4 linked regions of the Saccharomyces cerevisiae S288C genome follow. The gene in region 3 interacts genetically with the main gene of each other region. Each region holds a gene or a part of one and is shown on either strand. Other genes may lie near its edges.

Region 1 (10,121 bases), on a different chromosome or scaffold from region 3:
GAAAGACGTGGGCAGGAAGATGCGAGTTTTGGGAGCTGGTTTACCTGCTTCATCCCCATCCTTAGCGGCGCCTGAAGGCTGCACGGGATTATTCCAATGAACCACTCCTATAAATATACGTGTTGACTGTGCCTTCTCAATCGCCACTGTGCAATCTCTCATAATTTTTACTAATTTCGCTTGGTCTGGCTGTAAAAGAGAATTTATGTCTGGAATGATAACAATCTCAAATTCCTTAACATGTGTAGTTGCTAACGAGTCCAAGCTTGCAGTTGTTGAGTTCAGAACCGTGACCTTTATTCCTCCGCCCGGATAAGCGTCATTGATTGCCCTCTTCAGTTGTATATCACAAGTACTTGGCATCGAAGAGGCTAATTTTTCCTTTGAGACGCTGTCTCTATACATACATAGAAAGCTCTTTTTAGCTGTAACAGAAAACTTCAAACATGTCTGAAAATCCGGCAGATTATGATCGCCCATTCCTATTTTTGCCACATCCAATCAATAATTTTGCAGCTCCGATTTTGCAGGTGTTGCTGTTCAATGGAAGTAATCGTTGTTATAAAGGAGCACATCACCAAGTCCTCTAAGGCTTAAAGGTTTGTCGTTATGCACGTAAAAGATGAAATTTTTTTATGGCTAGATGAGCTCATCGCGATTTGAAGAAAAAGAGTAAAGAAAACAATGCTAAGAAACTACAATAAGAGCAAGTTGCATATCATCGAATAATACTAGTGGGGTTTTCTAGTTCGTTACAGCCAACAACAGACAAAAGATATGGCTAAACTTGTACATGATGTTCAGAAAAAGCAGCATAGAGAACGTTCTCAGCTAACTAGCCGTTCCAGATATGGGTTTTTAGAAAAGCATAAAGACTATGTGAAACGTGCTCAAGACTTCCACAGGAAGCAGTCCACTTTGAAAGTCCTCAGAGAAAAAGCAAAAGAGAGAAATCCAGATGAATACTACCATGCTATGCATTCAAGGAAGACAGATGCAAAAGGACTGCTGATCAGCTCACGTCACGGTGACGAAGAAGACGAATCGCTTTCCATGGATCAAGTTAAATTACTCAAAACGCAAGATAGTAATTATGTGAGGACGCTGAGGCAAATAGAGCTGAAAAAGCTGGAGAAAGGAGCGAAACAGTTGATGTTCAAAAGCAGTGGGAATCATACAATATTCGTCGATTCCCGAGAGAAGATGAACGAATTCACCCCAGAGAAGTTTTTCAATACCACCTCCGAGATGGTGAATAGATCTGAAAATAGATTAACTAAGGACCAATTAGCCCAAGATATTTCAAACAATAGGAACGCTTCATCAATAATGCCAAAGGAATCATTAGACAAAAAGAAATTGAAAAAGTTCAAGCAAGTCAAGCAGCACTTACAGAGGGAAACTCAATTGAAACAGGTCCAACAAAGAATGGATGCTCAAAGAGAATTGTTGAAGAAGGGTTCCAAGAAAAAAATCGTAGACTCTTCAGGAAAAATTTCATTTAAATGGAAGAAACAACGGAAACGTTAGATTTTTACCATCTATATAGTATATATAAGTGAATCAGGCAGACGTTCCGTAATCCTTCTTTTCATGTTTTATAGGATTACGTTTATAAAAAGTATTCACTTTTCTTAAGTGTCTTTTGCGCCATCAAAAAAAAAAGGATTTTGAGGCACCGGAAAAAAAAGAACCCCTCTCCGAATGGGAGTATTTAGGACAAGATTTGTAAAGTGCTCCCTTTTTGAGCAATACTACAGATCTATAATGGGGAACAAACTCATACACGATGGACAAGTATTTGAATTCATTTGTTGACCACCTTTCAGAGTGGTCATCTCGTGCCTTTAGGAACAATTCATCAAGCGCTAACCAAAGTGCGTCGAACAAGGAATTAGAACAAGTTTTTGAACAGATCAATGCTATAGTTGAAAACCACAATAACAAATTAACCACTGCCTTTGATAAGATATCATATCGCGTTGCTCACAAGATTACACACTTGGTGGAAAGCCATTCTTTAGTATTCAACTACGCCACTTTAGTTCTCATCGCAAGTGCTTTGGTCGTTATTGGCTCATTTACGTCTATTTCTTCTATTCCATTTACAGCTCTACCTCCTACGAGAGAACACTCATTGTTTGATCCTACAGATTTTGATGTGGACCACGACTGTCATGTTATCTACCGCGAGAATGACGAAGATAAAAAGAAAAAGAAGAAAAGCAAGAGGTTTTTCGATATGATGGATGAAAAACATGCGATTATACTGCCCTTAACTAGTGGCTGTACTTTACTCGCTCTCTATTTTGTGATCAAGAAACTACACCTAAACTGGCTAAAATATGTGGTGAAAATTTTGAATTTTAATATAACACTGCTAAATATCCCAGCTGGCACATTTGTCTACTCCTACTTTCTCAACTCACTTTTCAGAAACCTATCACATTTAGCTTCTTGGAATCCCCTGGTTGTTTTACCAAGGTATCGTGTAACAATAGCTGATGATAACGAAGACCTGAACAAGATAGGCGGGTTTGTTACCAATTTGAATTACAAAGATGGATTGACCAACTCAGTTGTTCACAAGAAAACATTGGATGAGATTGAAAAAGATCATTGGATGAAGCATTTTTACAGAAGAGAATTAGTTGAACCGAAGGATATTAAATCGAAGAGGCAGATCAGCAACATGTATTTGAATAGCGCATTAATTGTTTCGTTCGTTCTGTCCATCGTTTCTACCGTATATTTCTATTTATCACCCAATGATTGGTTAATATCCAATGCTGTCAGTATGAATATGGCTATTTGGTCCATTGCTCAATTAAAATTGAAGAATTTAAAATCAGGGGCCCTAATCCTAATTGCTCTATTTTTTTACGACATTTGCTTTGTCTTTGGTACCGATGTAATGGTTACAGTAGCTACTAACCTTGATATTCCCGTAAAACTAAGCTTACCAGTCAAGTTTAATACAGCTCAAAACAACTTCAATTTTTCAATACTTGGTCTGGGTGATATTGCCTTGCCTGGTATGTTTATTGCGATGTGCTACAAATATGACATCTGGAAGTGGCACCTTGATCATGATGACACTGAATTCCACTTTTTGAACTGGTCATACGTTGGAAAATATTTTATTACTGCTATGGTTAGTTACGTTGCTTCTTTGGTATCTGCCATGGTCTCCTTGTCCATTTTCAATACTGCTCAACCGGCTTTATTATACATTGTTCCTTCCTTGTTGATTAGTACTATTTTGGTAGCTTGCTGGAACAAGGATTTTAAGCAGTTTTGGAATTTTCAGTATGATACGATTGAAGTGGATAAAAGTTTAAAAAAAGCGATAGAAAAAAAGGAGAACTCTATAACTTATTCGACCTTCATCCTATCAGAATACTATAATGATGCCGACAAGTATGCCTTGCTTGGTGATGATGTAAACGAAAATTTTGACGATGATGAAGAATTCGTGCAAGAGGAAGATCTCAGTGACAGCTCTGAGGAAGAGCTTTCTGAAGAAGATCTCTTGGATGACGAATCTTCTTGAGCTCCAAAAGAAACGACAGCTCTTTTTACCCCTCCAGGGTTGTATTTATCTTCTAATCTAGGACAATGTTTGTAAAACCCTCTTTCTTTCCTTCGTGTCTCATGTCTCTCCATTTATTAATGTTCTTTTAAACTATGTTTTCTCACGCCTGTCCATTCGGTTCTCGTACGTTAAATTTTTCAAATTATTGTTGTATAATTATATAACATCTATATAGAATTTATGAACGTCCGGCATTTCGAATTACTCTCTCCACATCATCATTAAACTTTTCAAAGGCTTTATTGGAACTTGTGTTTGAATGTTTGCTTCTTTTTTTTACAGTAATTACCGTAGATGCATTGGGTGTGCTAGTAATCTTGATTTTGAATTTGAAGTTGCCTTTTACAAATTTACAATCGTATTCCACCACCTTTCTCCCAAATTTGTGATCTAGGTTCTTTAATTGATAGTCGATACTATTCTTGTTGAATTCATTTAATGTTAGCATATGCGCATCATCAAATGATATATTCGTTACATGATTCTTGGATGCCTTAGTAGCATTATTATGAGAAGAAAAGTTTTGAAATAGTTTGACGAACCAATTCTTTTTATCACTGGAAGGCGCTTCTTCAACTTCAACATTTTGGACACTTTTTAGAATTGGCTTTTTTGTATGGGTTTGTGTATTTGATTCCATAGCGGTATCCTTCGTAACTTTAATCGTTGAGGGTTTTGGTATTTTAGAGTAGTTATTTTCTGTATTATTTGCATTTTCCTTTTTTTCAACCACCGGCAACACAAGTTGAGAAGATTCCTCGGATATTTTATTGTCTAGCTTGGTATGCTCTTCTTTAATTTTTCCCCCACCTACTTTTTTAGATTCTTCCTCCTCCTCATCGAAAAGCATTGTCACTCGTTGTTTTGGATTAACGCTTTCCTCAGATGGTCTTCGCTTTGAATAGCTCATACTTGATTCAAGAATATCAGCTTGAGAAGTATGCCCATCTTGATCTTCCTCCAAATCTTTGAACATTGACTGTAAACTTTGAGAAATGCCTAATGCATTACTATCACGACTACCACGCGTGGAAGAAAACCTCTTTTGCATATGTGTATTAGAAGGATTTTCTGGTGACAATCTAAGTTTAGAAAGTATCTCTTCAGTAGTCTCTCTGGGTATACCAGAACTGTTATTATTCCAATAAAGACTTACTCTAACATTTGTCGCGGGAGTAAGAACGTTTGTTGTCGCCATAGTGTCAATAGATACCGCTTTCCTATGCACACTTGCTCGTGAATCGCTTTCTGAAGAAGATGTATTTAATGAACCCTCATCGGAGGGCGCATCTTCAAAAATATTAATGGCTTTTTCATCATATGTGTTTGGTATAGTATAATCTGGAATATAATTAGTATCGCTATTATCTGGTTCTTTTTCCTTCGAGATATAGGCTGCCGATTTGATTACTTTTTCTTTTGTAAAAGAAGATGCTTTGGGCGAAGTATTGATTTTATTATTGTCCGTGTCGTTGTTCATCAGTTGAATCGCCTGAGCGGTAAAGGTGTTTGTTGGTATTTCCATCGCAAATGTCATATCAGAGATTCCATCCAGATCATTACTCAAATAGGAGCCAGGTGAGCCCTGATTACGTTTAACGGATAAATTGGCGTTCAAATTAGACCGTGGAGTTAGAGATATTTTGGCAGATTGTTTTCGCAAAGGGTGTGACATGGCTACACTTCTAGATTGGTTCTGTGGCACACTTAGATGCTTATCATCACCGTCATCAGCGAGTATCTGGCTAAGATTTTTGAACGTCATAGATGTGTTCAAAAAACTAGAAGGTAAAGACAGCATTGGTTTTTGAATTGTACTAGATTCTGCTAAAACACTGGGATCTCTCGAAGATGTTGCTACTGTTGTTAAAGGTACATATGAACTTTCGATTGAAACATCTGAGGCTTTGACTGGTTTTTCGTCTTCCACATGTTCACTCATGAACAAGGAACCTCTCTCATGGGTCCAGTGAGAGGCTGGCTCCTTTTTGAATTTCAGTCCCTGCAATAGTGATTCCACTTTTGAATTCACTGGCTGGGAGATGTTACGGCGGGGATCTAGAGATAAGGACGGTTTACCTTGATCATTAGGCAAAGAATTTACACGAAGTTCTTGGTGCTGAATAGGTTTGAGTGGTGACGGGCGGTCATTTTTTTTTTGAAGTTGTTCTCTTTGAATCTTTTTTTCTATCCTCATACCTTCCTGTTTATTCATTTTATTGAATGAGTTCGTGATATCTGAAAGGGCCGCTCTCTTTGGCTTCTGTTCTTCCAAATAACTTGAGCTTAACGTGTTTTCTTTTTCAAAGATAGGAAATGAAGAGAGCCCTGACATATTCTCAGATGGTTTATATGACATATTGAATTGATTTTTCTCAATTTTGGTTGGATACTCCGGGCCCTCATTTTCCTTATTTGTAGACACCCCAGAGATCGTAAAAGTGTCTGCCGAAGATTTTGTATCGTTTTGCCTCTGTCTTTGGGTGTCGCGTTCTTTTTCATTGTCCTCTTCCTCTTCGAGTATCCTATCTAAGGCGTTTCCAAATAAGATCTGATCGCATAAGATCTCAAAATCAGAGTCTGATTCCAACGAATGGGGTTCTGATTTATTCACATTTTCGGATGCTGGTTTCTTACTAGGGAGAGGATCGTCAAAGACTAATAAATCATTCAGGTTCAAGGAACGTTTTGAAATTGACTGTAATGAGTATAAGGATCTCTTTGAAGCCGAGTTTTGTAGTGTTCTTCTAGCGGCAACAGTTGCAGCTATATTCTTCCTCGAAAGTGATTTATGTATTGATTTAGTAGATGGGGAGGCGTGGATTGCCCTTCTTGACAATGAATATCTTGAAGGCGACTTCGGCAGTTGAGGTAGAGGCATCTCATTATCATGCACAGTTTCTCTAGAAGTTGAAGCGGACAATGATAATCTGGAATTCGATAAGCGTAGCGATCTTCTCGAACGTGATGAAATAGAGGTGTATGAGTTACGGAAAATCCTTGATGAAGAAGCATTGAATATGGGAATAGCGGGTGGTAATGTTACAGCTTCTGCTTCAGCCTTATCACTTTCAGGTTGACTGAGCGTATTGATACTAAATTGCGATTTTTGTGCCAATACAGGGGCATTAATTTCTGTATTAACCCCTGTAATTGCGTTGTTCTGATTCACTGTTGAAGTATCTTCTGAATGAATTTCTAGAGAATGTAAAGTCTTCACATCATTGTTCTCGCTCCTTAGGCCTGTATTATTGGCAGTTTTGGATGCGTATTCAATCCTAGGTTCATTTACGCTACTTTCTGTTGCTGATTTCTTGTTTTCGCTTGACGAGGACAATGATATTGAGTGACGTTGTTTATATTGTAATAACAGTGAGTAGAATAGTTTTTCCTCCGACATTGGCTTTTGAAGCAACTTGGCAGTGATTAGTTCACGAGAAACTCCATGCCACAAAATTTGCAAACTCCTCAAGATGGATTCATCAATTTCCCCTTTTGAATGTAAAGTTACAATAGAGGGCGAGACATTATTTAGCAAATGCAAATCCGAGTTAGATTTTCCCCTCGCCATGTTATCCTTTCTCATTTTCCTCAGCACTTTATTAACTGGGAGATCATCATATTTTTTGATCAGAGGATGCTTCAATATCTCTTGAGTGGTAATTCTTTTTTCTGGATCAATTACCAATATTTTTGATATCAAATCACGAGCCTCAGAAGATAAATTTGAGGGCATTTGATATTTGCCCGATTGAACTTTCAACAACAGCTTTTTGATGTTGTCATCATTAAATGGTAAATGACCGGTGAGTAATGCAAATAAAACGATACCGCAGGACCAGACATCGCTAGGACCGCCATGATATGGTCTACCCATAACAATTTCAGGAGACGCATAGTGTGGAGAGCCACATGAAGTTTTTAAAAGTTTATTAGGAAGCTCTAATGCTGCCATGCCGAAATCAGCAATTTTGATTCTCCTATTCTTTTTATCTAATAATAAATTTTCAGGCTTCAGATCACGATGGCATATATTAAAAGAATGACAATAGGAAACACCTTCAACTATCTGCTTGAAGTAATGGATAGCCTCCCTTTCAGGTAGCTTTCCCTTCGAGACCAGATAATCGAATAATTCGCCACCATCAACATATTCCAAAACTAGGTACAGCTCTGATTTGTTCTCCCAAACTTCAAACAATGCCATAACGTTTGTGTGAGATATCAATTTCATGATTACTATTTCTCTCTCTATGCCATATGGGTTCGTTTGAGAATGGTTACTATGTTCTCTAGATGCTATTGATGGAGAAGATACATTGGAAGTGACCATGGAAGAAGAGTAAGAATTAGGAACAGTTCCATTATTAGAACAATGAACAAAGGCTTTCTTCTTGGGGACAATTTTAATGGCAGCTAATTGTCCTGTTTCCATATTTTTAGCCAAGCGAACCCTACCAGAAGATCCCTTCCCCAATGTTTTGCCAAGTTTCCAAGGACCCACCGTGTCTCTGGATTTTCTCTTTGATGATTTTGTAGCAACACTTACGGTAGAGTCGGGCTGAGATAATCTTTTGGTAGCGTCGTTCACAGATTGTACAACACGCTCCAAATGCCCCGACGCCCTTTTTGGATTCGAATTTACTTTGGCCATGGCCCTTTTAGCTGCCTTCTTGGCCAATGAAGACGGGCGACCTTTGGGTACGTGGCTCGTTTTTGAAACGTGACCAGTCATGTCGTGTGGTAAAAATAAAAAATATTAATAACAAATAATAAAGGAGTGAATATAGTTGGTTGTTGATTTATTTATCAGTATTTTTTGTCCCGCAAATCTATGTCGTTCTTTTTACCTTGTCTTTCTTGTAATTTTATTATTTATCTCTTTTCGCGATTAGTAGCAAGTAGTATGATGGATATCCAACCTATTTGATGATCTATTTGAGTTCAACTCTCTGTTTTAATGGCCTCTCGCTGTCCAATTTACGTCCTTGCAGTCGGATAACTAGCGAACTTACGATCCAAAGGGAGTTTTAAGAAGAAACAGGTTTCGAGCAAAAGGTAACTTGCTTATATTAAGAACGCCAATAAGAGTGGCCACTATAATGCTGCTCCCAGCCGGTACAAGACGGTACGGTACGTGATGGAGATTAGTTTTCACTATTTAGCCCAAACAACCCAACGCGAAAATGACCACGCGAAAAGAAAAATTAGTAAAAATATTTCACAACGCGAAAAATAAGGACGAAGGCAACACATTCCACCTTCCCTGTTATTGTAAAACGCACAAATGTGTGCTTTATTCGCTGAGGTTTCATCGACAGCTGCAGCCAGTTGTTCATTCGGTGTTCTCTTGTGCAGCGGCTCAAATTGTGGCAGGCTTGTAGGCTCCGAACGCCGTAAGGTACTTTATGTTTTTAATGTCAACGTTTGCAAGAAAATGTCATCCTATTACTTTCTGAGGCATGATAACATTGTAATCCCTTATCTCTTGCGCTTGTTGGTATCAGATAAAGAAGCATCAAACAAGAACCCACTCCTTCCTTTTCTCATGGATAAAGAGAGGTCGCACCATTTCGTGAGGAATATGAATTAGTCAGCTTCTACTTTAGGGTATAGGTTGCAAACTTCCGTTTTTCTCAAGGTTTAATCAGAAGCATAATAGGTCTTCGGATGATTTCTTGTCTAATTCAAAAAAAAAATAATCTGGGATAGGTTTTTCGGGAAAAACAACTAGGGGTGATGCTGTTTTGCACCTCTATTACTGTAAGATAGGCTATGCAAGCAAACGACAGTAAGAAAGAATAGGGTTAAGTGAAATAGTTGACACACCCCTTAATCGTTCCATTAGATAATAAAAATTCATTTATAAGCAGTTGACTTCACAGAACAAGACATACACTGTATAGAGCCTGATCAGTAATCTTAGTGCAATTGTAGAAACCTGCACAACCAACAAAATTAAGAAAAAAAGAATGGAGGAACAACGTGAAATACTGGAACAATTGAAGAAAACTCTGCAGATGCTAACTGTAGAGCCATCTAAAAATAACCAAATCGCCAACGAAGAAAAGGAAAAGAAAGAAAATGAAAATTCGTGGTGCATCCTCGAGCACAATTATGAGGATATTGCACAGGAATTCATTGATTTCATTTACAAGAACCCTACCACTTACCATGTAGTATCATTTTTCGCGGAGCTGTTAGATAAGCATAACTTCAAATACTTGAGCGAGAAATCCAATTGGCAGGACTCCATTGGCGAAGATGGTGGGAAATTCTACACTATAAGAAATGGAACTAACCTATCTGCCTTTATCCTGGGCAAAAACTGGAGAGCCGAAAAGGGTGTCGGTGTCATTGGATCTCATGTGGACGCTTTGACGGTCAAATTGAAGCCCGTCTCCTTTAAAGACACAGCGGAAGGTTACGGAAGAATTGCTGTTGCTCCCTATGGAGGTACACTGAATGAATTGTGGCTAGACAGAGACCTAGGTATTGGTGGTCGCCTTCTTTACAAGAAGAAGGG
Region 2 (6,137 bases), on a different chromosome or scaffold from region 3:
TCTTTTACGATTGCTCTAGCGTCTCCTTCAATCGTCATTGTCGACAGTTCACTAGCTATACTCATGATTTGGGGTTCTGATAGTTGGTGCATCCTCATCCAAGGGTAGAACCCTAACTTCGAGCATATCTTTTCGGCTGTTGTTTTACCTATGCCGTAAAATTTAGAGGCCAGTGCGATTTTAATGACCTCTTTACCTTTGAAACCTTTACCCAAGATGTGAACGACCATGGTTTTGATGGAAGACCCGACTTGATTTGCTCTTGAATCGTCTCTTCTATTTTGAAGTAACAACGTATCCTAGCCTGATATATGAAGGAGTTTTTTTAACCTTAAAGAACAAATATATTTCATTTCTATAATGAGCGCCATGTCGTCAATAGGGATATTGTATCTTCAGCTGTCATGTAACATATTAACTTCCAGGAATCTTAATTGAATGATTATGTAGGGATGATCTTGTAGCGTAAATATAGATACATAGTTAGAGCTGTTGCAGCATATACATATACATATATATTATATATTTTTCTTTTATTTTTTTCATGCGGGGGGATGCATTTCATGCAGTATTCTTTCTAATTGCTCTACATCCAATCTTTGGATGAACAGGTTTCGCAGTAAACCTAACATGGTGATAAAACTAGCTAGTCCCACAGGGACGACACAAAGAACCGTGATTTTATATAGATCTATCGTTCGCTTAGTGGTAAAATTGAATGCTTTTTTTGGATATTTTTTGGGTCTTTTAGGGCTTTGTGAATGAGAGACTGAGGGCCTGTTAACAGGAAACAATCCGCCATCACTGTTATCGGAGAGACTGTCGTTGGAAGGAACATCTACTGTACTTTCGTCGGCTACCACAACATGTGAGTCTTCATCAGCGTCATCTTCACCATCCTCATAGTCTTCTGTTTCTTCTGGAACATTAGTATCCTCTTGTACTTCGCCTTCCTGGTTCCTGATATACCTCAGATCCGAGGTAAGATAACTTTGCCAAATGTACACTGCTGTTAGTACACAACTAATGAGTATCCATGTATGCAAAAAATAGTCGAGTTCCGGAGACAAAGACGACAAAAGAAGGAGTTCTAAGGTGACAATGATCAATGACATGGAAAACATTCTTAAAATGGCGGCCACAGTAGAGTACTTGACGATCCATCGGACCATCAAAGAGTCGAGAATGGCATACGAGAGGTATAAAGACACCAGGCACCAAAGTGAGCAAAGGAGATATTCAGACGCTCTTGCTGTAGTGAGTGCGGATAATAGGAGTGAATCCTTACCGTCGCCATTCACAGCCTTTTGCGAAGCTCCTTCAAATGATGAGTTATTGTCGTAAGCGCTATTGAGTTTTTGCCAGAAATAAGTGAACGCATCTCTTAGTGATTGTGGCTCGTAAAGCGTTATGCTGGTGCGCATGGAGACTCTCCAAGCCTTCCGCAGAGATGTGAAGATGTAAGTTAACGGCGGTAAAAGGGATATGTCCCTGCATAAGGCCATCAGCATATGCTGCTTGGCAGTTAAATGATTCAAAGACAGCGTTTTCATAGAACTGTACGTCTTTTTAAAGGTCGCTCGCTCATGCTTGGCATACTTGTCCTCATGAGGGCCCATACCAGTACTTAGTATCCACGTCATCTGGTTTTTTAAAACCCTGAAGAATCAAATAAGATTATTTGACCAAAGGAAGGGAAGGGAAGAGAAAAAAAACTTAAAGAAAAAAGAAATGAGAAACCCTGGTGTGTTCACGTAGATGCACAGACGGTGGGCAACCCAAAACTTAGTCTTCCGATAAACTTTTCAGGTTCTTGTACACGTGGAAACGCCCGATATATATCACATGTAGCTGTGTAATATGAGAATGCCTTTGTCCATGTGATAAACCGTGCAAAACTTAACATGGGAGCAGGCACAAGTGTGAGTCCCACGAACAAAACGCCGCTCGGGTAATAACGCCCAATGTAAAAACATCATAAATCAGCACGCAAACGGTAAAGAACAAAAACATCTTCAAGGGAAAAGTATACAGATGTATAGTCTAAGCTATTGTATTTGTATAAATGGTTCTTATTTTAGTTTCGTTTGCCCATGAGCGTTTGATTTGCTCAAGAACAAGGAACAAAGACCAGCGTGTTGGGGAAAAGAAAAAGAAAACAAAAAACAAAAGTAGATCACAAGTTTTCCAGAGATGCAGCAATTTCGTCCAGTTCCTTCTTTGCGTCTTCGTACTTGACGGTCAATTCCTCGTTCTTTCTTTCCCATTCTTCTCTTTGTTCTTCCAAGGCAGCTACTCTTCTTTCCAATTGATCTGCCTTCAAGTCGGACTCTCTCAATTTCTCAGTGGTTTCCTTTAGCTTGGTGTCGCTTTCCTCCAAGTCTTCTTCCAATTGCTGGTTCTTCTTGGAGAAATTGTCGTTGTTGGACTGCAAGTGGTGAGAGTCCTCGGACAATTGCTTGGATTCAGCCAATTCTGCTTCCAACTTCTCGATCTCTTCCTCCAATTGGTGGTTCTTCACCGTCAAGGACTTGATCTGATTTTCTTTTTCAACGTTATCCTGTTCTGTTTGCTTAGAGTCAGAAAGTCCCGCTTCCAGCTTCTCGATCTCATCCTCCAATTGCTGGTTTTTGACGGTTAAAGACTTGATCTGATTCTCCTTTTCGACGTTCTCTTGCTCCAAGTCCTTGTTCTTCTCTTTCAACTCCTCGTACTTCTCCTGCCATGATTCGGCTTCCAACTTCAAGTTGCTTAGCTTTTCTCTGATTTTGTCCATTGTTGCCTTTTTTGTGTGTATGGGGTGTGAGTTCTACTATGTAGATTTCTTCTACCAACCTAATCTTTTACAGTATCAGAAGGGAAAAACGAACCTTCTTCTTGCCAAGTATGCAGTATGTGATCTCTAACACTTTTCCGTTTCTCGTAGATCGTGCTATGGTGTGCTGATTTTTTATTTTAATGGTTACCCGACTTCTTTACCCGGCTCTCCGTCGGGTAAGATATATGTGCTAGCGCCACGCGATGGCTGGTTTGTCTTTTTAAGTTCTTAATATTTATTTTTATATTTTGATTTTTTTTTTTTTTTTTTTTTTCCATTAGTGAATGACAGCAATGTATTAAGCTGCTGCCGCGCATACAAAATGTACTGCGTTAAATTAGATTAGCTTAAATTAGTGCTTGGTAAAGGAGGAGTGGTTTCAAGTCCGGTGTGCGCCCCACTTTATTCGGGTATCTTCTACGTTTTTACATCCATGTTTCAGGTACTGTTGAAAATAGTTAAGATCGTTCGTATTTCTTAATTCATGTATTTTTCCCTGTTCCTAACTCGCAAACATCAGTTTTCTTGCAGATACGTCTTGAAATACAACCATACAGACAATGGAGACATACGAGACTAGCATTGGGACTCAGTCTTATCCCCCGACTTTGTTCCCACCTCCCCTGGGTACCGGTGGGTTTACCACTTCAGGTTATATACATGCGCTTGTGGATTCTACATCGAACTCGAACTCGAACTCGAACACAAATTCGAACACAAATTCGAACACAAATTCAAATTCAGATACCAAGATTCCTATAGTGCAAATATCGGATGACTCTCATATAACACACGACAGCTTCAAACCATATATGGAGTACCACGATGCTTCGCACTTGAGGAACCGTAACATAAGCAAAGCGGACCAGGTTGAAAGCACTGAAGTGATGGAACAGTTTACGCAATGGTCGAATTATAAGATGAGGTCTCGCTCTCCTACCATAAACGCAAAGCCAATTCGACACACTTCACAACGAAGAACAGACTTTACCAGCAAAAATGAACTCTCCAAGTTCAGCAAGAATCATAATTTCATTTTTCACAAAGGGTTTTTGAAGAGGCAACACTCCATACGCAGGGAAGACAGGCAAGCAAAGGTACGGTCAAGATTCAGGAGCAAGAAGGAGCTGACATCCGTTTTGAACTATATAGAACTGGAACAAATGGATATTGCAAATGTCCTGGCTTCGCAACCGGTAAACTTACACGCTATCAGAAATCTCACTAGCAGGGACCCTGCGGTAACTCCTATCCCATTTTTAAGAAGCCAGATGTATGCAACCAGTAGTCGTCCACCGTATCTAAGGAACCGCTCCATAAGTAGGAAACTACCCAAATCACAACCAGGTAGTCTCCCGACGACTATGCCTGCGACGGCGACGAAAACAATTAAACAGAATTCAACGACCCCAACCACAAGATCTGTTTATAACAAGAATGTGGGGCGGTCCAATACTTCCCCTAGTGTGTTGTACCACCCAAAAAGAAGAGGAAAATTGAACACCAAATCGCATGCAAGAAAGGAGCAACTGCTGTTGGAACTGTGGAGAGAATACTTAATGCTGGTTATAACACAGAGGACGCAACTGCGCCTGACTTTGCTTTGCTCTCCGGGTTCAGCATCGAATGAAAGCTCTGTCTGCTCTTCTAACGCCAGCGACTTAGACATGTCCCTTTTATCTACTCCTTCAAGTCTCTTCCAGATGGCAGGTGAGACCAAAAGCAATCCTATAATTATACCCGACAGTCAAGACGATAGTATACTTAGTAGCGACCCCTTTTAAGTAGGTAACCCCCCCTGGATTGCATAGCCATTGCATAGCCTTAGACATCAAACTTTATTTAATCACATTATCCTTCTATGTATCTTTTTCCCCCGCTCGATTTCTTCTAGAACATTACGGAAAATAAAGGAAAAAAATGACTGGAGCATCGAATCTGTAGACTAAAAAGGTAATGACGCGTTCTTCGTTCCCACAAGTATGTGAAATCGTTTGAACGCTTTTATATACTGATAGGAATAGATTATAATAGTATTCAACATTCATCAAACAGTTTATATCGGTAATAAACCAACCTCACGATACAGTGATTATTTCTCTAAACAACACGAGCCGTACTGTACCTACGATAAAGTAAAACACATTTTTCTTTTGCTACCAGTGGACACAAGATAACGGAGAATGCAACAAAACACGTCTTTATATGACTCTTTGAACGTTACTGCCGCTGCATCCACATCTGAGATTAAGAAAGCTTACAGGAACGCTGCATTAAAATATCATCCTGATAAAAACAATCATACAGAAGAATCCAAGCGAAAGTTTCAAGAGATATGCCAGGCATACGAAATACTTAAAGACAATCGTTTAAGAGCTTTGTATGACCAGTACGGTACCACAGATGAAGTCCTGATTCAAGAGCAGCAGGCGCAGGCGCAACGCCAACAAGCCGGGCCGTTCAGTTCATCCTCAAATTTCGATACGGAAGCAATGTCATTCCCGGATCTATCTCCAGGTGATCTTTTCGCGCAGTTTTTTAATAGTTCTGCTACCCCCTCTTCTAATGGCTCCAAAAGCAGTTTTAATTTTAGCTTCAATAATAGCTCTACGCCGAGCTTCTCCTTTGTTAATGGCAGTGGCGTGAACAATCTGTACTCCTCGTCAGCAAAATACAACTCCAACGATGAGGACCATCATTTGGATAGAGGCCCTGATATCAAACATAATCTAAAGTGCACATTGAAGGAACTCTACATGGGTAAGACTGCAAAGTTGGGTTTGAATAGGACAAGGATTTGCAGTGTTTGTGATGGGCACGGTGGTCTAAAGAAATGCACTTGTAAAACATGCAAAGGGCAAGGTATTCAAACCCAAACTAGGCGTATGGGACCTCTAGTACAAAGTTGGTCTCAAACTTGTGCAGATTGCGGGGGTGCCGGGGTTTTTGTCAAAAATAAAGATATTTGCCAACAGTGCCAAGGTCTTGGCTTCATTAAGGAGAGGAAGATTCTACAAGTCACCGTTCAACCGGGATCGTGTCATAACCAACTTATAGTACTTACGGGCGAAGGTGACGAAGTTATTAGTACTAAGGGAGGCGGTCACGAAAAGGTAATACCTGGTGACGTCGTTATCACCATTTTACGTTTAAAAGATCCGAATTTCCAGGTTATCAACTACTCCAATTTGATATGTAAGAAGTGCAAAATCGACTTCATGACCAGTTTATGTGGAGGCGTAGTTTATATTGAAGGGCACCCTAGCGGTAAGTTGATCAAACTTGATATTATACCTGGCGAGATACTGAAGCCTGGTTG
Region 3 (7,944 bases):
AAAATCGGGCCACAATATCAGGCCAGTATCGTTGAAGGATGTAGTGTTAAAAGCAAGGTCAAGGTTTTTCACCGCATAGTTATCTGCGTCCAAGAAGATAATACGCTTGAAACTGGAAATTATCAACCCAAAGACTTTCAACTGGAAGTGCGTGAGTTTTAAATCGCTTAATGGCTTTGAAGGAACGATATCTGAGAAATAAATGCACTTACCATTGAATTTCGGCAACCAGTTCTTACAAAAATCATCCTCGCCTTCGTCCTGAGGCGGAATGATGACTTCAATAGGCAATGTAGTACCCGTGTCCCTCAACTTTTTGATCATCGTATACGCGAGCACAGAATACTTTCCACCTCCAATGGTGACAATGCCCTCAGAACCTGAGAAAAGTGCCTCTCTTTGTGGGATGGAAAAATTCAGTTTCCCTGATAAGGTGTCTGTAAACTTACTGTGCACTTCTCGTAGGCTTTCTTGTACTGTTTTATTCAAATTATAGCATTTACTCAAGCTCTCGTAACTTAAGTCACTATCGTGTCCAGAGTCGTGTGCAGCAACGTTATTTGCAAAGCTACACCCTTCCGCCCCATGCAACTTACTCAAGTCCGGAGACGAATCTGCCGGCTTGTTTTCCACGATGGCTTGTACCAGTGTTGTGTAAAAATTGTTTTTAAGGTTCGACCTTGTTAGAACCGGCAATCTAAGCTTTTTACCGTATAACCAACTAGAAGACACATCATTATGCACAGAACAAAAAAATAAAATTAGCACTACTGCGCTCACGATGACCTGCAGGATTTTTCTCTTCTTTAACCTAATCAGCATTGTAACCTGAACTATTAGTATATCCTCTTGTTGTGCTAGGAACCAGTCGTAAAATAAAAATTTCCAATAACCGTGAAAATGCTTTTTTCATATCTGCGTATATATAAAACACTTTAAAGCCGTGTTGATCCTTTAGTTGTTACACTTTTTTTTCCCCGCCGATGAGAAAGTGAAAAAAAAAATCCGCAAGAACGGGGAAAAAGATAAAAGAAGGCACTTATCTCTCTGAACTCTGCACCGAAACATGCATCTGTCGTCTATTCCGACTTGGCAACCAAAAGAAGCCCAAGAGCTAGTTGCACTTAAATCAGTAGAATCGTGAGATTGTTTATTATCTTACTTCTGTTAGAGTGCTTCGCTTTCCATGCATCAAACTATGGATTTGTGCTGATCTTGCAACCATCGTCCTCTAAGGAAAGAAATGTGGCACCTTTAAATAGGTTCCACCTCACAGATGCCAACATGTGGGAGATAGGGGGCTATTCGCAATTTATTAACGTCTCTAGTACTGGTAAGCCTTTCTAACATTCTTGTGGTCACGTGATGTGTATGTTTCTTTTTTTTATTCCTCCGGGTGATAACGACGCGAAAAATATTTTTTCATTTTTCTTTTAACCATCACAATTTGCGACGCGACGCGAAAAAAATGCAGAGAAGTAAAAGAATGCTGGATAAGAAATCAACAACACAGTTGAACATTGGCGTGCCCCTGTGTATTAAGTAAAGGTTGTCCAAGAGGCTCTTTTTTGTATGTATGCGTGTGTTAACTATCCTGCACATCATCTTGCGCAGTTAGTCCAATAAAAAAAGGATTACTACTGAACAGGTCTTACTATTTTTGATTGCGTAGTGCTGGGGAAAAGTAAACACACACAGGCGCACACGAGAACAGATGAGTTCTTTGGACGAGGATGAAGAGGACTTCGAAATGCTGGACACGGAGAACCTCCAGTTTATGGGGAAGAAGATGTTTGGCAAACAGGCCGGCGAAGACGAGAGTGATGATTTTGCTATAGGGGGTAGCACCCCGACCAATAAACTGAAATTTTATCCATATTCGAACAACAAATTGACAAGAAGTACGGGGACCTTGAACCTGTCATTAAGTAATACAGCTTTGTCAGAGGCTAACTCCAAATTTCTTGGGAAAATTGAAGAAGAGGAAGAAGAGGAGGAAGAAGGCAAGGATGAGGAAAGCGTGGATTCTCGTATTAAAAGGTGGTCTCCGTTCCATGAAAATGAAAGTGTTACTACTCCTATTACAAAAAGATCTGCGGAAAAAACGAACAGTCCTATTTCTCTCAAACAATGGAACCAGCGATGGTTTCCGAAAAATGATGCTCGCACTGAAAATACATCCTCATCCTCTTCATATAGCGTCGCTAAACCTAACCAATCAGCCTTTACGTCTTCGGGCCTCGTATCTAAAATGTCTATGGACACTTCGTTATACCCTGCGAAATTGAGGATACCAGAAACACCAGTGAAAAAATCACCCTTAGTGGAGGGAAGAGACCATAAGCATGTCCACCTTTCGAGTTCGAAAAATGCATCGTCTTCTCTAAGTGTTTCCCCTTTAAATTTTGTTGAAGACAATAATTTACAAGAAGACCTTTTATTTTCAGATTCTCCGTCTTCGAAAGCTTTACCTTCCATCCATGTACCAACCATAGACTCATCCCCACTGAGCGAGGCAAAATATCATGCACATGATCGTCACAATAACCAGACAAACATCCTGTCTCCCACTAATAGCTTGGTTACCAACAGCTCTCCACAAACATTGCATTCTAACAAGTTCAAAAAAATCAAAAGAGCAAGGAATTCGGTTATTTTGAAAAATAGAGAGCTAACAAACAGTTTACAACAATTCAAAGATGATTTATACGGCACGGACGAGAATTTCCCACCTCCAATCATAATATCAAGTCATCATTCAACTAGAAAGAACCCTCAACCTTATCAATTTCGTGGACGCTATGACAATGACACTGACGAAGAGATCTCCACTCCAACAAGACGAAAATCTATTATTGGGGCAACATCTCAAACACATAGAGAAAGCAGACCATTGTCACTCTCCTCTGCCATCGTGACAAACACAACAAGTGCAGAGACGCATTCCATATCTTCCACCGATTCTTCGCCGTTAAATTCCAAAAGGCGTCTAATCTCTTCAAATAAGTTATCAGCAAATCCAGATTCCCATCTTTTCGAAAAATTTACGAATGTGCATTCCATTGGTAAAGGCCAGTTTTCCACGGTCTACCAGGTTACGTTTGCCCAAACAAACAAAAAGTATGCAATCAAAGCCATTAAACCAAACAAATATAATTCCTTGAAACGCATATTACTGGAAATTAAAATACTAAACGAGGTAACAAACCAAATTACAATGGATCAAGAAGGGAAGGAATACATCATCGATTACATCAGTTCCTGGAAGTTTCAAAATTCATACTATATTATGACAGAATTGTGCGAAAATGGTAATTTGGATGGATTTTTACAAGAGCAAGTTATCGCAAAGAAAAAAAGGTTGGAAGATTGGAGAATTTGGAAAATCATCGTGGAATTAAGCCTGGCTTTACGATTCATCCATGATTCTTGTCACATTGTGCATCTGGACTTGAAACCCGCAAACGTCATGATCACATTTGAAGGTAACCTAAAACTAGGTGACTTTGGAATGGCTACTCATTTACCGTTGGAGGATAAAAGTTTTGAAAATGAAGGTGACAGAGAATATATTGCACCAGAAATCATTTCTGATTGTACGTACGATTACAAGGCAGATATTTTTTCCCTGGGTCTGATGATTGTTGAAATTGCAGCGAACGTTGTGTTACCTGACAATGGCAACGCATGGCATAAGTTGAGATCGGGTGATTTATCGGATGCAGGAAGATTAAGTTCCACAGATATTCATTCTGAATCATTATTTTCAGACATTACGAAAGTAGATACAAATGATTTATTTGATTTTGAAAGAGACAATATCAGTGGTAATAGTAACAACGCTGGCACCTCCACTGTTCATAACAATAGTAATATCAACAACCCTAATATGAATAATGGCAACGATAATAATAATGTCAATACTGCCGCTACCAAGAATCGTCTTATTTTGCATAAAAGTTCTAAAATTCCCGCATGGGTACCGAAATTTCTTATTGATGGTGAATCACTTGAGAGAATAGTACGATGGATGATAGAGCCCAATTATGAGAGAAGGCCCACGGCAAATCAAATCTTACAAACTGAGGAATGCCTGTATGTAGAAATGACACGCAATGCAGGTGCTATTATCCAGGAAGACGACTTTGGACCTAAGCCAAAATTTTTTATATGATAAATGGAACAAAAAACCTTGTTTTATTTACATACTTTTTTCCCACACGTGCTTATGGGCCGCATTGTATAAATAATCCAATAACGAAAAAGAGTGTAATTGCAGTCCGGTAGTAATACCATGTAAAACCTTAGATGAGTTTATTTTAAGTACAGCCGCTTCAAGCATTTTTATTTTTATTTTACAGATGTAGCAGATAACAACCGTTAAATTATATTATATATATATATATATATATATCAAATACGACGTATTACATATATATTGAGAATAAGGGAAGGATGGAAGACAAATGACAAAAAGTTTGAAGCATAAATATGTTCTTCGCTTAGATGTTCATCTTGGTTCTTCTCCAGTTTCTTCTCTTAGCGTTGTAACGGATAGTGTTGTTGGTTCTCAATCTGATCCATTGTGGCAATGGTCTGTTTTGCTTCTTAGCCTTAGCCATTTTTTGCTTGATTCTGAAAGACTTTTGAGCCTAATTAAAAGGGAAACATATCGTGCACATACGAAGTGTACAATTGTAAAAAATGTTAGTAACAATGTTCAAACTCATCAATGTGATGCATTCACGGATCCAAGGCAATACCACCTGACATAAACCACGCTGGACCACCAAAAGTTCTCAGAATAAGCAGTTTATGACCATATTTTAATCTGCGTAGTGGCGACTTTAGATTTCTGTTTCGGATAAGAAAAATTTTAGTATGGTTAACACTCCTAATCCTTTCCCTATATTTTACACATTGCTTCTATTTCAAATCCAAATTGTAGGTGGTAAGGTCATTTAGATGGATGTGGTTTATAATTTGCTATTGATCAGTTCAGCATCTAACTGGGATTTATAATATCTTTCTAACATACAGCCATGTTGATCTATCTGTGTTTATTTGCTTGTCTTTTTCGAATTTTCAGTATAATATGAATGTACCAAAAATTGTAGAAAGTATATTAAGTAGAAGTTTTAAAGTATCTATCAAGGCGAAGAATAATTCTCGGTTCTCGACAGCCCAAAAGCCGAATTGCGTTAGTTAGCCCACGCGCGAGCGTAAACGCAAGGACCATTGAGCTTGGAACAGAAGGAGTCGCTTCGGCGTCCCCGCCAAGGCGTACTGTTTGCCTCGGCCTGCCGCGTGGTGGTGGTAGTTTGAGCCGGAGCCTAAAACGCCCATAAGTTTTTTGAAAATCAAGCTAAAAAATGAAAAAAAAAAAAAGTTAAATTGGTACTGTGCGCCCATACATCACATACTTAAAAGTGTGTAATTCCTCTATACATCCACACCTCACTATTTGAAAAACTCAAATATTGAGGACGCGCGATTACCAGCGGCATGTTTACTCGCTGGAAGATGTGAAATAATTCTTGAATATGGGTTTGCAGTTAGTCAATTTCAATCTAAATAATCTTAATCGACTATTCAATTCTTAAATTGTAAGGTTTTTTAATGGCCTTTCAGTTCTAGTATTTTTTATAAAACAAGACCAACATACATATCCAAGATGACCAGATCTTCCGTTTTAGCTGATGCTTTGAATGCCATTAACAACGCTGAAAAGACCGGTAAGCGTCAAGTTTTAATCAGACCATCCTCCAAGGTCATTATCAAGTTTTTGCAAGTTATGCAAAAGCACGGTTACATTGGTGAATTTGAATACATCGATGACCACAGATCTGGTAAGATTGTTGTTCAATTGAACGGTAGATTGAACAAGTGTGGTGTTATTTCCCCAAGATTCAACGTTAAGATTGGTGACATTGAAAAATGGACTGCCAACTTGTTGCCAGCCAGACAATTCGGTTACGTCATCTTGACCACCTCTGCTGGTATCATGGACCATGAAGAAGCCAGAAGAAAGCACGTTTCTGGTAAGATTTTGGGTTTCGTTTACTAAGCTACTTGTTACAACAACCTTTTCGGTAGCTTTATATACTATAATAAACACAAGATAGCCTCATAACTTTACTCATTTCTTATTATACATTTTTTTAGTTTTCCTGTTAAATACTAATATATTTGTACTTTAAAACTGTTCAAAAGATTAGACAGAAATGAATTTATCTGCCGCATTTCTGCATGCACGAAGTCGAATATGCAAATGTTTATATTGGCTTTATTAATTAAACAAACTATATTTATGTGAGAAGGTAAAGCCGTATTTCCATGCGTTAATAGAGTAAAAAAAAAAGAAATCATAATCTTCTACCTCTTCTACCACCCTTCTTTCTGGTGGAGTCTGATGGGACTGGAGTAACGTCTTCGATACGGCCAATCCTCAAACCAGATCTGGCCAAAGCTCTCAAAGCGGCTTGACCACCTGGTCCTGGGGTCTTGGTTCTGGTACCACCAGTAGCTCTGATCTTAACGTGAACGGCAGTGATACCGACTTCCTTACACTTAGCGGCAACATCTTGGGCAGCCAACATAGCAGCGTATGGAGATGATTCGTCTCTGTCGGCCTTGACTTTCATACCACCAGTAACTCTGGCGATAGTTTCCTTACCAGATAAATCGGTAACATGTACAAAGGTATCGTTAAAGGAGGCGTAGATTCTGGCAACACCAAAGACTTGAGAGTTATCGCGAGCTTGAACAAGGTCTATACATGATAAGAGGTATAGTTGTTAGTAAACAGAACTTCTGCTTTTTCGATTATTAAAAAATAAACGAATGAGTCACTATCTAACAACCATTTAGTTACAATCCTTTTAAGATAAACATTCTTTATTACAGATGATACAGTATTAAGGGTGAGCGCAGAGCCTCTATAACACAATAGCATTGAAGTGCTTTATTGCAGAAATTTTAACTCCGTATTACAGAATTTCATGGCCTTACAAACATAAGTAGCATCTCATAACACTATTGCAATATAGTTAGGAGTGCTTCAAAGTTGCAAAAAAAATAAAATTCCAATAATAACATCATGCGCTACCCGATCACAGTCTCCATCTGAAAAAAAGAATAACTAAATGGTTTTAAACAGGATATCACCCCTTTCACGTACCGTTAGCCATTCTTAATTGTTATTGGGAGTTGTTGATTTCAGTCTTTTTCTCTCTTGCGATGAAGATGCATACAGAAGGAATAGTACCGCTTTTATACTCGTAGAAGGCAAGTTCTTGCGACTATATCTTTTATTCCGTTTTGTTTTTCAAGTCTATCACCCATTAAAAAGTTTGAAATTTTTTCCATATTCTTTTCAGTGTGGTGCAAGGATGTACAATGATGTGTTTACACCACATATAAAATCAAGCTCGAAAAACAGTCTCGAAAATGATCGAGGATTTCAGGATGAAATTATGTATGAAATTAAGATGAACGAATTTGTCAAGCCATTAAATATCATCAAAGTAAATTTGATCAACAAGTGAAAGAGCAGTGTGACGATGTTTTCACAGATTGTTCTTTTACTCAGTGCATTTATTTATGTCGCCAGTGCTACGGCCAGGAGAGGGACCATTAAGGGTCGCTTAGACTTAGCAGCAAGTAACATCACCGGCTTTGTTTCAACTAGAACAAGTTTCAAACTTTATCAGATCGGCAATTTTTCGACAGAATATCCTTACACATCTACGACCATGTTTCAAGATGACGAAGGCAACTTTGAATTCGCTAATCTCCCTTTAAACGACGGTGTTAATGAAACGACATACTATGTGATGTACCCAGCATCTATGGACTTCAATCTGAAGCCAAACAGAATTCTTATTGAATTCAAGAATTTAGAGAATGGCACCTTACAATTGAACGCGTTCAAGAACTTTTTTG
Region 4 (8,936 bases), on a different chromosome or scaffold from region 3:
ATTATTGATTGTGGTGGTGCAGGTACCGATGGTTACATAGGTAGCAAATATTGGCGTGATCCCGGAGCCTTCCGTGGTGATACACCCATCCAGAGGTTCAAAGGTGTCGTTGCCACATTTGTCACAGCAGCGTTCGCCTTTGGTATGAGTGAACAGCTGGCTATGACTGCCAGTGAACAATCCAATCCAAGAAAGGCTATTCCATCGGCGGCAAAGAAAATGATTTATAGAATTCTGTTTGTGTTCTTGGCGTCTTTAACGTTAGTTGGTTTCCTTGTACCTTACACCTCAGATCAATTGCTAGGGGCCGCAGGTTCAGCCACTAAAGCGTCGCCCTACGTCATCGCTGTCTCCTCTCATGGTGTTCGTGTGGTTCCTCATTTCATAAACGCTGTCATCCTGTTGTCTGTTCTTTCCGTTGCTAACGGTGCCTTCTATACCAGTTCTCGTATTTTGATGTCGTTGGCCAAACAAGGTAATGCACCCAAATGTTTCGATTACATCGATAGGGAAGGTAGACCTGCTGCTGCTATGCTTGTCAGTGCATTATTTGGTGTCATTGCATTCTGTGCCTCATCTAAAAAGGAAGAGGACGTTTTCACCTGGTTGTTAGCAATCTCCGGTTTGTCTCAATTATTCACGTGGATTACCATTTGTTTGTCTCACATTAGGTTTAGAAGAGCTATGAAAGTGCAAGGAAGGTCCTTAGGAGAGGTTGGTTATAAATCTCAAGTCGGTGTCTGGGGGTCGGCTTACGCTGTCCTTATGATGGTGTTAGCTTTAATCGCCCAATTTTGGGTTGCCATTGCCCCAATTGGTGGAGGAGGTAAGTTAAGTGCCCAATCATTTTTTGAGAATTATTTGGCTATGCCAATCTGGATTGCTTTATACATCTTTTACAAAGTTTGGAAAAAAGATTGGAGTTTATTCATTCCCGCTGATAAAGTAGACTTAGTTTCTCATAGAAACATCTTTGATGAAGAATTATTAAAACAAGAAGATGAAGAATATAAAGAGAGATTAAGAAACGGACCATACTGGAAAAGAGTTCTTGATTTCTGGTGTTAAAGCAGAAATCACGATTCAAAAAAAAAAAAAAAAACTTGAAGAAACAATTCAATTAGCATATTATTTCAAATCCCAGCCTTCCTACACGCTCTTCCTGTTTTATCTCTTTCCTTTCATTCTCCCGTCCCCCTCATTCATGTATTTCTTATTTCATTATACTATTTAACTCTTTAAATATTCTATGTACTTTGTGCAAACATCATTGTCATCACATAAATGCATTCCTACTATTACTAACTTGAACTTCACTTCACTGGAAGAACTGGGTTATTCAAGGTAAAGAAATCATTTGTTTTGCGCCAAGTTTCGTCTGACAAGAATTTTTTATTATTATTTCCCACTTTTCATCGAAGGAAACGCGTCAAATCCATTCGTTACTACGCGCAATCTGCGTTATTTCCTTTTTCGGCATACCATCGCGAAATATCAACGGCCACACCATAGATTCCTTTTGATGTTAAATTAAAAGCGACTGAATGAAGTGCACACATTTTTTATTTCTTCTTGATTTTCTTTTCTATTTTGTTTTGCTTTCTCTTCTGTCGACAACGTCTCAACTGTACTCACCATTAGTATTCTCGAAGGCTTTAGCAGACTTGTGAATAATTAATTGCCCACTTTGATCAAGAAAGATATTCGCAGCACAATACAATAATAACATTCAAAATGGCAATCAATGGTAACAGTATTCCTGCCATAAAGGATAATACCATCGGTCCATGGAAACTAGGTGAAACTCTCGGTCTAGGGAGCACTGGTAAAGTCCAGCTTGCTCGTAATGGATCCACAGGACAAGAGGCGGCAGTTAAGGTAATATCAAAAGCAGTATTCAATACCGGTAATGTCAGCGGTACTTCGATTGTTGGCTCCACCACCCCAGATGCTCTACCATATGGTATAGAACGCGAAATAATCATTATGAAGTTGTTAAACCACCCAAATGTGTTACGTTTATATGATGTCTGGGAAACAAATACAGATTTATACCTTGTTTTAGAATACGCGGAGAAAGGTGAGTTGTTCAACTTATTGGTTGAGAGAGGTCCTCTGCCAGAGCATGAAGCTATCAGGTTTTTTAGACAAATTATTATTGGTGTGTCGTACTGTCATGCGTTGGGTATTGTCCATCGTGATCTAAAACCGGAAAATCTATTATTAGATCATAAATATAACATCAAGATTGCAGATTTTGGTATGGCTGCTTTGGAAACTGAAGGAAAGCTACTGGAGACGTCGTGCGGATCACCACATTATGCTGCACCAGAAATTGTATCTGGTATACCGTATCAAGGTTTCGCAAGTGATGTGTGGTCATGCGGTGTGATCCTATTCGCCCTTCTTACTGGTCGGTTACCCTTTGACGAGGAAGATGGAAATATAAGAACACTATTACTTAAAGTTCAAAAAGGTGAGTTCGAAATGCCTTCTGATGATGAAATTTCGCGTGAAGCTCAGGATTTGATTAGAAAAATCTTAACCGTTGATCCTGAAAGAAGAATCAAGACCAGAGATATACTCAAACATCCGCTATTACAAAAATATCCAAGTATAAGAGATTCTAAAAGTATTAGAGGCTTACCAAGAGAAGACACATATCTCACGCCATTATCAGAAAGTAATTCTTCTATTGACGCTACGATTTTGCAAAATTTAGTAATATTATGGCATGGAAGAGATCCTGAAGGAATTAAGGAAAAACTAAGAGAACCTGGCGCTAATGCAGAAAAGACATTATATGCACTACTGTATAGATTTAAGTGTGACACTCAAAAAGAGCTTATTAAGCAACAGCAAGTTAAGAAGAGGCAGTCAATTAGTAGCGTTTCTGTTTCCCCATCTAAAAAAGTATCGACAACTCCACAACGCAGAAGAAATAGAGAATCTTTAATTAGTGTAACATCTTCTCGTAAAAAGCCAATATCCTTCAACAAATTCACTGCCTCCAGTGCCTCCTCCAGCAATCTAACTACACCCGGTTCTTCAAAACGCCTTTCAAAAAACTTCTCTTCAAAGAAGAAATTATCTACAATCGTTAACCAATCTTCTCCAACACCAGCATCACGTAATAAAAGAGCTTCGGTTATAAATGTGGAAAAGAATCAAAAAAGAGCCTCTATCTTTTCTACTACCAAGAAGAACAAAAGATCTTCTAGATCTATCAAGAGAATGTCATTGATACCAAGCATGAAACGTGAATCGGTGACAACAAAATTAATGTCAACATATGCGAAATTGGCAGAGGATGACGATTGGGAATACATTGAGAAGGAAACAAAGAGAACGAGCTCAAATTTTGCAACTTTGATAGATGAAATTTTTGAGTACGAAAAGTACGAACAAATAAGGAAAGAGAAGGAAGAGCTAGAACGTAAAGTGAGAGAAGCAAAAGCACGTGAAGAGCTGGAACGTAGAAGACGTAAACAAGAAGAAAAAGAACGTGCAAGAAAATTACTAGAAAAGGAAGATCTGAAAAGAAAACAGGAGGAACTCAAGAAGCAAATTGAAATTGATATAAGTGATCTAGAGCAAGAGCTGTCCAAACACAAAGAGGAAAAACTGGATGGTAATATTAGATCTATCTCTGCTCCTATGGAAAATGAAGAGAAAAATATCAATCATTTGGAGGTTGATATTGACAATATTCTCCGTCGCCGCAACTTTTCTTTACAAACTAGACCTGTGTCAAGGCTTGATCCGGGTATAATGTTCTCCAGTCCAACTGAGGAAGTAAGTCCAGTGGAACCAAAGAGAACAGAAAATGAAAGACTTACAACAGAAAAGAAAATTTTAGAAACTATCAGAAGATCAAAATTCTTGGGTTCATCATTTAATATCGATAAAGAGTTGAAATTGTCTAAAATGGAATATCCAAGTATAATTGCACCACAAAGATTGTCAGAGGAGCGAGTGGTGTCAGATTCTAATGATGGATATGAATCTTTGATCCTCCCGAAGGATGGGAATGGCGTATCTCAATTAAAGGATAGTACCGCAACAACTGCTCCCGTCTCTGATGGTAGGTTGAGGAAGATCTCTGAAATTAGAGTACCACAATTTACTAGAAAATCAAGGCATTTTAGTGAGTCCAATAAAAGGCTATCTGTCCTGTCGATGTACTCTACCAAGGAGTCGTTTACCAACTTGGTTGATATTTTGAAAAACGGTAACCTTGATGTCAATAACCAACAAAGCCAAAGAATTCCAACACCAAGAAGTGCGGATGATTCAGAATTTCTTTTTGAAACTGTCAACGAAGAAGCTGAATATACAGGAAATAGTTCGAACGATGAGAGATTGTACGATGTCGGTGATTCCACTATCAAAGACAAATCCGCGTTAAAGCTGAACTTTGCAGATCGTTTTAATGGATCGAACGAAGCGAAACAAACTGATAACTTACATCTTCCGATCCTTCCTCCGCTTAATGGTGACAATGAATTGCGTAAACAGAATAGCCAAGAGGGTGACCAGGCACATCCAAAGATTAAATCGATGATACCAGAATCAGGCTCTTCTTCACATACTGAAAAGGAAGAAGAAAATGAGGAAAAGGAAGAGAAAAAGCCAGAACAACACAAACAAGAAGAGGATCAAGAAAAAAGAGAGAAAGTAGTAGATGATATGGAGCCACCATTGAACAAATCTGTGCAAAAAATTAGGGAAAAAAATGCTGGCTCGCAGGCAAAGGATCATTCAAAAGATCACTTAAAAGAGCATAAGCAGGATAAAAATACAGCAATTGGAAATGGTTCCTTCTTTAGAAAATTCTCAAAATCTTCGGACAAAACAATGGAATTGTATGCCAAGATTTCTGCAAAACAATTGTTTAATGGTTTAGAGAAGCTGTTGCGTGGTTGGACTCAGTATGGTTTAAAAAATATAAAATCGCACCCCAACAATCTGACCTTAACGGGTAAACTATCGAGTGATAATATATTCTCACTACGTTCAACACTCTTTGAGGTTAATATTTATCCGAGAGGTAAGATGAGCGTTGTGCAGTTCAAGAAAGTTTCTGGTTCATTCAAAGCTGTCAAAAAGTTGGTCAATGAAGTTGAGAACGTCCTGAATAAGGAAGGCGTTCTACAAAAATAGTGCTAATGTAATGCAATCATGTTTTGTCTCCTTCGTTTTGTTCTGCCATAATATTTCGCTCATATTATTTTTGCTTATTTTTTCCCCTCCGTATTAATACTTTAAATAACAATCTAATGGAGGTACTGGACTCTATGTACTATTATATTTACCCTTAAAATATCGTGTTGATTACTATTTGTATAACCGTTTGTTTTTCTAACTATATATGAAAGAAAAGTAGTTATAGTTATAGTAGTTGAAGATTTAAAAGCTATTTGCCCTCTTTGGGATTAAAGTAAGAGCTAAACATAAATTATGTAACAGTTTAATTTTCCGAACATTAATTGTTGTTAAAGGCTTTAATATCAAGTATACTGAATATGCTAGAAGTTCCACTCAAGCATATAAGAATATCTGCCTAAATTATTATTTATCACTACAACTTGGCTACAAATTATGAACAATGAGGCCGACAAGAAGTTACTCTCTTAAAAAATGGGATATGATATATACAAACATATGATACAAAAATTTCAACAAATAAGTGGTTGTTTGGCCGAGCGGTCTAAGGCGCCTGATTCAAGAAAAAATCTTGACCGCAGTGAACTGTGGGAATACTCAGGTATCGTAAGATGCAAGAGTTCGAATCTCTTAGCAACCAATATTTTTTAGTTTACATTTTTTTCGGGGATAGTCATAGAGGATCCACCTTCATCTCAGCTGTCCACATTAAGGCCAAAGCTAATAAAGTGGCACATACTGGGCGGTTAAACAAAGTTATTAAGTAATTATTGCAAAACTCCGTGGACAACTTGTTTAGAATGAAGGTCATTCTCCTTAAGCCGGTTCAGTTGCCAATGCTACTCTTAATACTATTAAAATTTATTATGGCCGCTAAGGAAGGCAAAATACATGTCTTAGAATTCAATGCGAGCAGTGAATACACGCTTGATAAGAGAAGAGTTATCTCCATAAATGGCTACAGCGCTACATTTGGCCCAGAAATTCGAGTTAAATCCGGTGACACTCTTAACTTGAAATTGACTAACTGGATATGTTCAGAAGAAGAAGCTAGTAAAGACAGTGATGTTTGGAAGGATTACTGTTCAACAGCTTTACATTTTCATGGGGTGGTACCTTTAGCAAATGAATTTGATGGAATTCCAGGTTTAACACAGCCCACTATTGGATATGGAGAAAGTTATTGGTATAATTTTACCATTGATCAATCAACCTGTGGTACTTTTTGGTACCATTCGCATTCATCAGTACAATACGGTGACGGTATGAGAGGTGTTCTGATAGTTGAATGCGATGATTATGATAATCATGTGGCAAATACTATTAATTCTGTGAGAGACATAGAGACACTAGATGACGGTGTTGTTACAATGAAAAAAGATAAACACACGAAGGAATTGACGGATTATGAAGTTCAAGAAAGGATTATCACTTTGAGTGATTGGTATACCAATTGGAATTTGGACATTTTAAACGACAAGGTTTTGTCATCTACCGGGGGTACAGATCCCAAATTTGATGGATCATTAATAAATGGAAAATCATCTGACGGTGAAACTATCAAAATAGGATTTAACACCGAGTATCTTCTTTTGAGAATCGTAAACTCAGGAATGTCTGGTACTCAAGTCTTTCACCTTGATGGATTCCAATTAATTGTTCTAGAAGCCGACGGGATTATGATTAAACCGTTCATTGTACAAACGATAAATTTAGCGGTCGGACAAAGATATACAATTTTGGTCAAACTAAAGTCTGACACTAGTTTTATTCGTATGATTAATGGCTGTAACAAAATGATGGGTTATATAACAAAACAGTGGTGGTTTTACAAAGAAGGCGCTCATTTGGACCTACCAAAGAACCCCAATGACGTTTCCATCGAACACTTGCCTGGTTTCACTAAGGCCGAGCTTTATCGCGACATAGAACCAACGCAAGAAGAGAATAAAAAGTTACGCACAAAGGCTGATCCTGTTGCAGTTTTCGAATTCGATTATGCTTATTACAAAGATGAAAGCACGAAACAAAAGTATGGGACTGGGATGTATAAGGTGAACGAACGGACATTCAGCGAGTACGTAAAAGACCCGGTAAGGTTCGGATTCAACGAAACATATGATATTGTAATCAACTCACTGGACCACATGAGACACCCATGGCATATGCATGGCCATCACTTCCAGATAATATCTCTTGGCAATAAAGGTGATGGCCCATTTCACAAAGACGTACAAGAGGGCAAGGCATGGAGCCGCTATCAGAACGATTTACGTCACCTGGCCCGAACCGGAAAGGCACCGATGGTAAGGGATAGCATTAACATTGCAGGAAATTCTTACGCGGTTTTGAGAATTAACACCGAGATGCCCGGAAAATGGCTTTTACATTGTCATGTGGAGTGGCACATGATGAAGGGGCTTGGCATTGTCTTTGAGGTTCCGACAACAACCGAGGACAGTACCAAACAAGCAACTACAGCTGTATTATCGTACCCTACCAAGGAACCTGACCCTAACACTGTTGTCCATACAGCCGCACTTGAACAAAATAAGTCCAAGGTAATAGCCGTCTACATCCTAATCATGTGTGCGGTTGATGCTATCTTCTACTGGTTGCTCATGTAATCACATCCATTTCTCCCAACTCATTGCTTTTTTTCGCTTTTCCCACAGCCGTTTACAAGGCCGCAAAAAAGAAAACCCGCAAAGCTGACGGAAAAAGTATCGGCTAGCTTTCCATTGGCGACAATCGCCTCCGAGTGCGAAAACCTGTATTTCTCTGACTGCCGTAGGTCATATAGGATTGGGTCATAACGGTTTTTTGGAGACGAATCCTTCCCCTAATCGTGTTGGATAACATTACGGATCCGTGTTTTAGCTAAAGGAACAAAACAAAAATAAATAAAGGATAAGAAGAAGGATTCACTGATAATTAAGAGCTGTATTTTTCATTGGTTCGGCAGTTAGAAACAGAGATAGCATCAGTTCGAGTGTTCTTTGATATAGTAAACAGCGTATATAGAAAAGAATAAAGTGTATTGAAAGGCTCAAGAGAATTATAGAGAAAAAAACGAAGGATAAATCAAAAAAAGCGGTGTCTGATACAGTGCTCAATAGAAATACAGTTGCAAAATGGACCTCCCAACTGTTAATAGCACAACAAGCATTTCCGACAATGTGGATTTAAAGAACTACTATGAGGACTTGCTTTTCAAGAATAACAGCGGAAAATCGCTATCCGATTTACCCCGTAAACTGAATGATAACTCCAATAATTCAGGAAGTGATACGGTTGATCCGCTTGCTGGCCTGAATAATTTGAGAAACTCAATAAAAAGTGCGGGAAATGGTATGGAAAACAGGAGGACTTTTGACGATATTGATTTTATGGGTAGGTTTCCGTATTTGCCACCAGTGCCAAATCAACAACAGCAACCGTTTTCTCACCAGAACGGGTTCATTCAAGAACACCCTTCCAGTAATTTGACCTCTTTTCAAATGTCTTCGTCTAATTCAGAGCCGATGTCCGCACCGCCCATTTCATCCAATAACAATAATTTAAACTCTACTCAAATGGGTAATTATCAAGCTCAACAACGGTCGTTCCCGCAATTTAATGGAAATTCATTTCATTCAAATGGAAACGACCTAATGGGGAATCGGATGGATTCAGACTACATGCGTTTAATGAATAAAACAAACATAGGTTTTACTTCCAATAGCGGCAGCAATTTTGCTGCCCCATCACACAGTGCTGGCAACCCATCT

What was found.
Region 1: of SWE1 (region 3) and HSL1, a mutation in one rescues a mutant of the other (synthetic rescue), as found in Saccharomyces cerevisiae (6 studies listed by BioGRID, with this or other methods).
Region 2: mutations in SWE1 (region 3) and TPM1 together harm fitness more than expected from each alone (negative genetic interaction), as found in Saccharomyces cerevisiae (5 studies listed by BioGRID, with this or other methods).
Region 4: of SWE1 (region 3) and GIN4, a mutation in one rescues a mutant of the other (synthetic rescue), as found in Saccharomyces cerevisiae (4 studies listed by BioGRID, with this or other methods).

Annotation. Positions count from the first base shown.
Region 1 is NC_001143.9:247,129-257,249, reverse strand, and holds HSL1 (protein kinase HSL1), read right to left. Parts: upstream 8,331-10,121; coding exon 3,774-8,330; downstream 1-3,773. Other genes in the region: MTC2 (Mtc2p), read right to left, coding at 1-480; rRNA-processing protein UTP11, read left to right, coding at 778-1,530; YPF1 (aspartic endopeptidase), read left to right, coding at 1,790-3,553; YKL102C (uncharacterized protein), read left to right, coding at 8,883-9,188; metalloaminopeptidase APE1, read left to right, coding at 9,568-10,121.
Region 2 is NC_001146.8:476,390-482,526, forward strand, and holds TPM1 (tropomyosin TPM1), read right to left. Parts: upstream 2,777-6,137; coding exon 2,177-2,776; downstream 1-2,176. Other genes in the region: mitochondrial 37S ribosomal protein uS13m SWS2, read right to left, coding at 1-230; EOS1 (Eos1p), read right to left, coding at 543-1,643; NIS1 (Nis1p), read left to right, coding at 3,379-4,602; APJ1 (Apj1p), read left to right, coding at 5,002-6,137.
Region 3 is NC_001142.9:73,033-80,976, reverse strand, and holds SWE1 (tyrosine protein kinase SWE1), read left to right. Parts: upstream 1-1,714; coding exon 1,715-4,174; downstream 4,175-7,944. Other genes in the region: alpha-1,2-mannosyltransferase MNN5, read right to left, coding at 1-822; 60S ribosomal protein eL39 RPL39, read right to left, coding at 4,503-4,652, 5,039-5,044; 40S ribosomal protein uS8 RPS22A, read left to right, coding at 5,675-6,067; 40S ribosomal protein uS11 RPS14B, read right to left, coding at 6,366-6,772, 7,181-7,190; SOP4 (Sop4p), read left to right, coding at 7,563-7,944. UniProt on the Saccharomyces cerevisiae protein: Protein kinase that acts as a negative regulator of entry into mitosis (G2 to M transition) by phosphorylating and inhibiting the mitosis-promoting cyclin B-bound CDC28 at 'Tyr-19'.
Region 4 is NC_001136.10:1,458,585-1,467,520, reverse strand, and holds GIN4 (protein kinase GIN4), read left to right. Parts: upstream 1-1,734; coding exon 1,735-5,163; downstream 5,164-8,936. Other genes in the region: glutamine permease GNP1, read left to right, coding at 1-1,068; GMC1 (putative oxidoreductase), read left to right, coding at 5,967-7,793; PSP1 (Psp1p), read left to right, coding at 8,301-8,936. UniProt on the Saccharomyces cerevisiae protein: Serine/threonine-protein kinase which regulates the localization and the function of the septins during mitosis. Phosphorylates SHS1.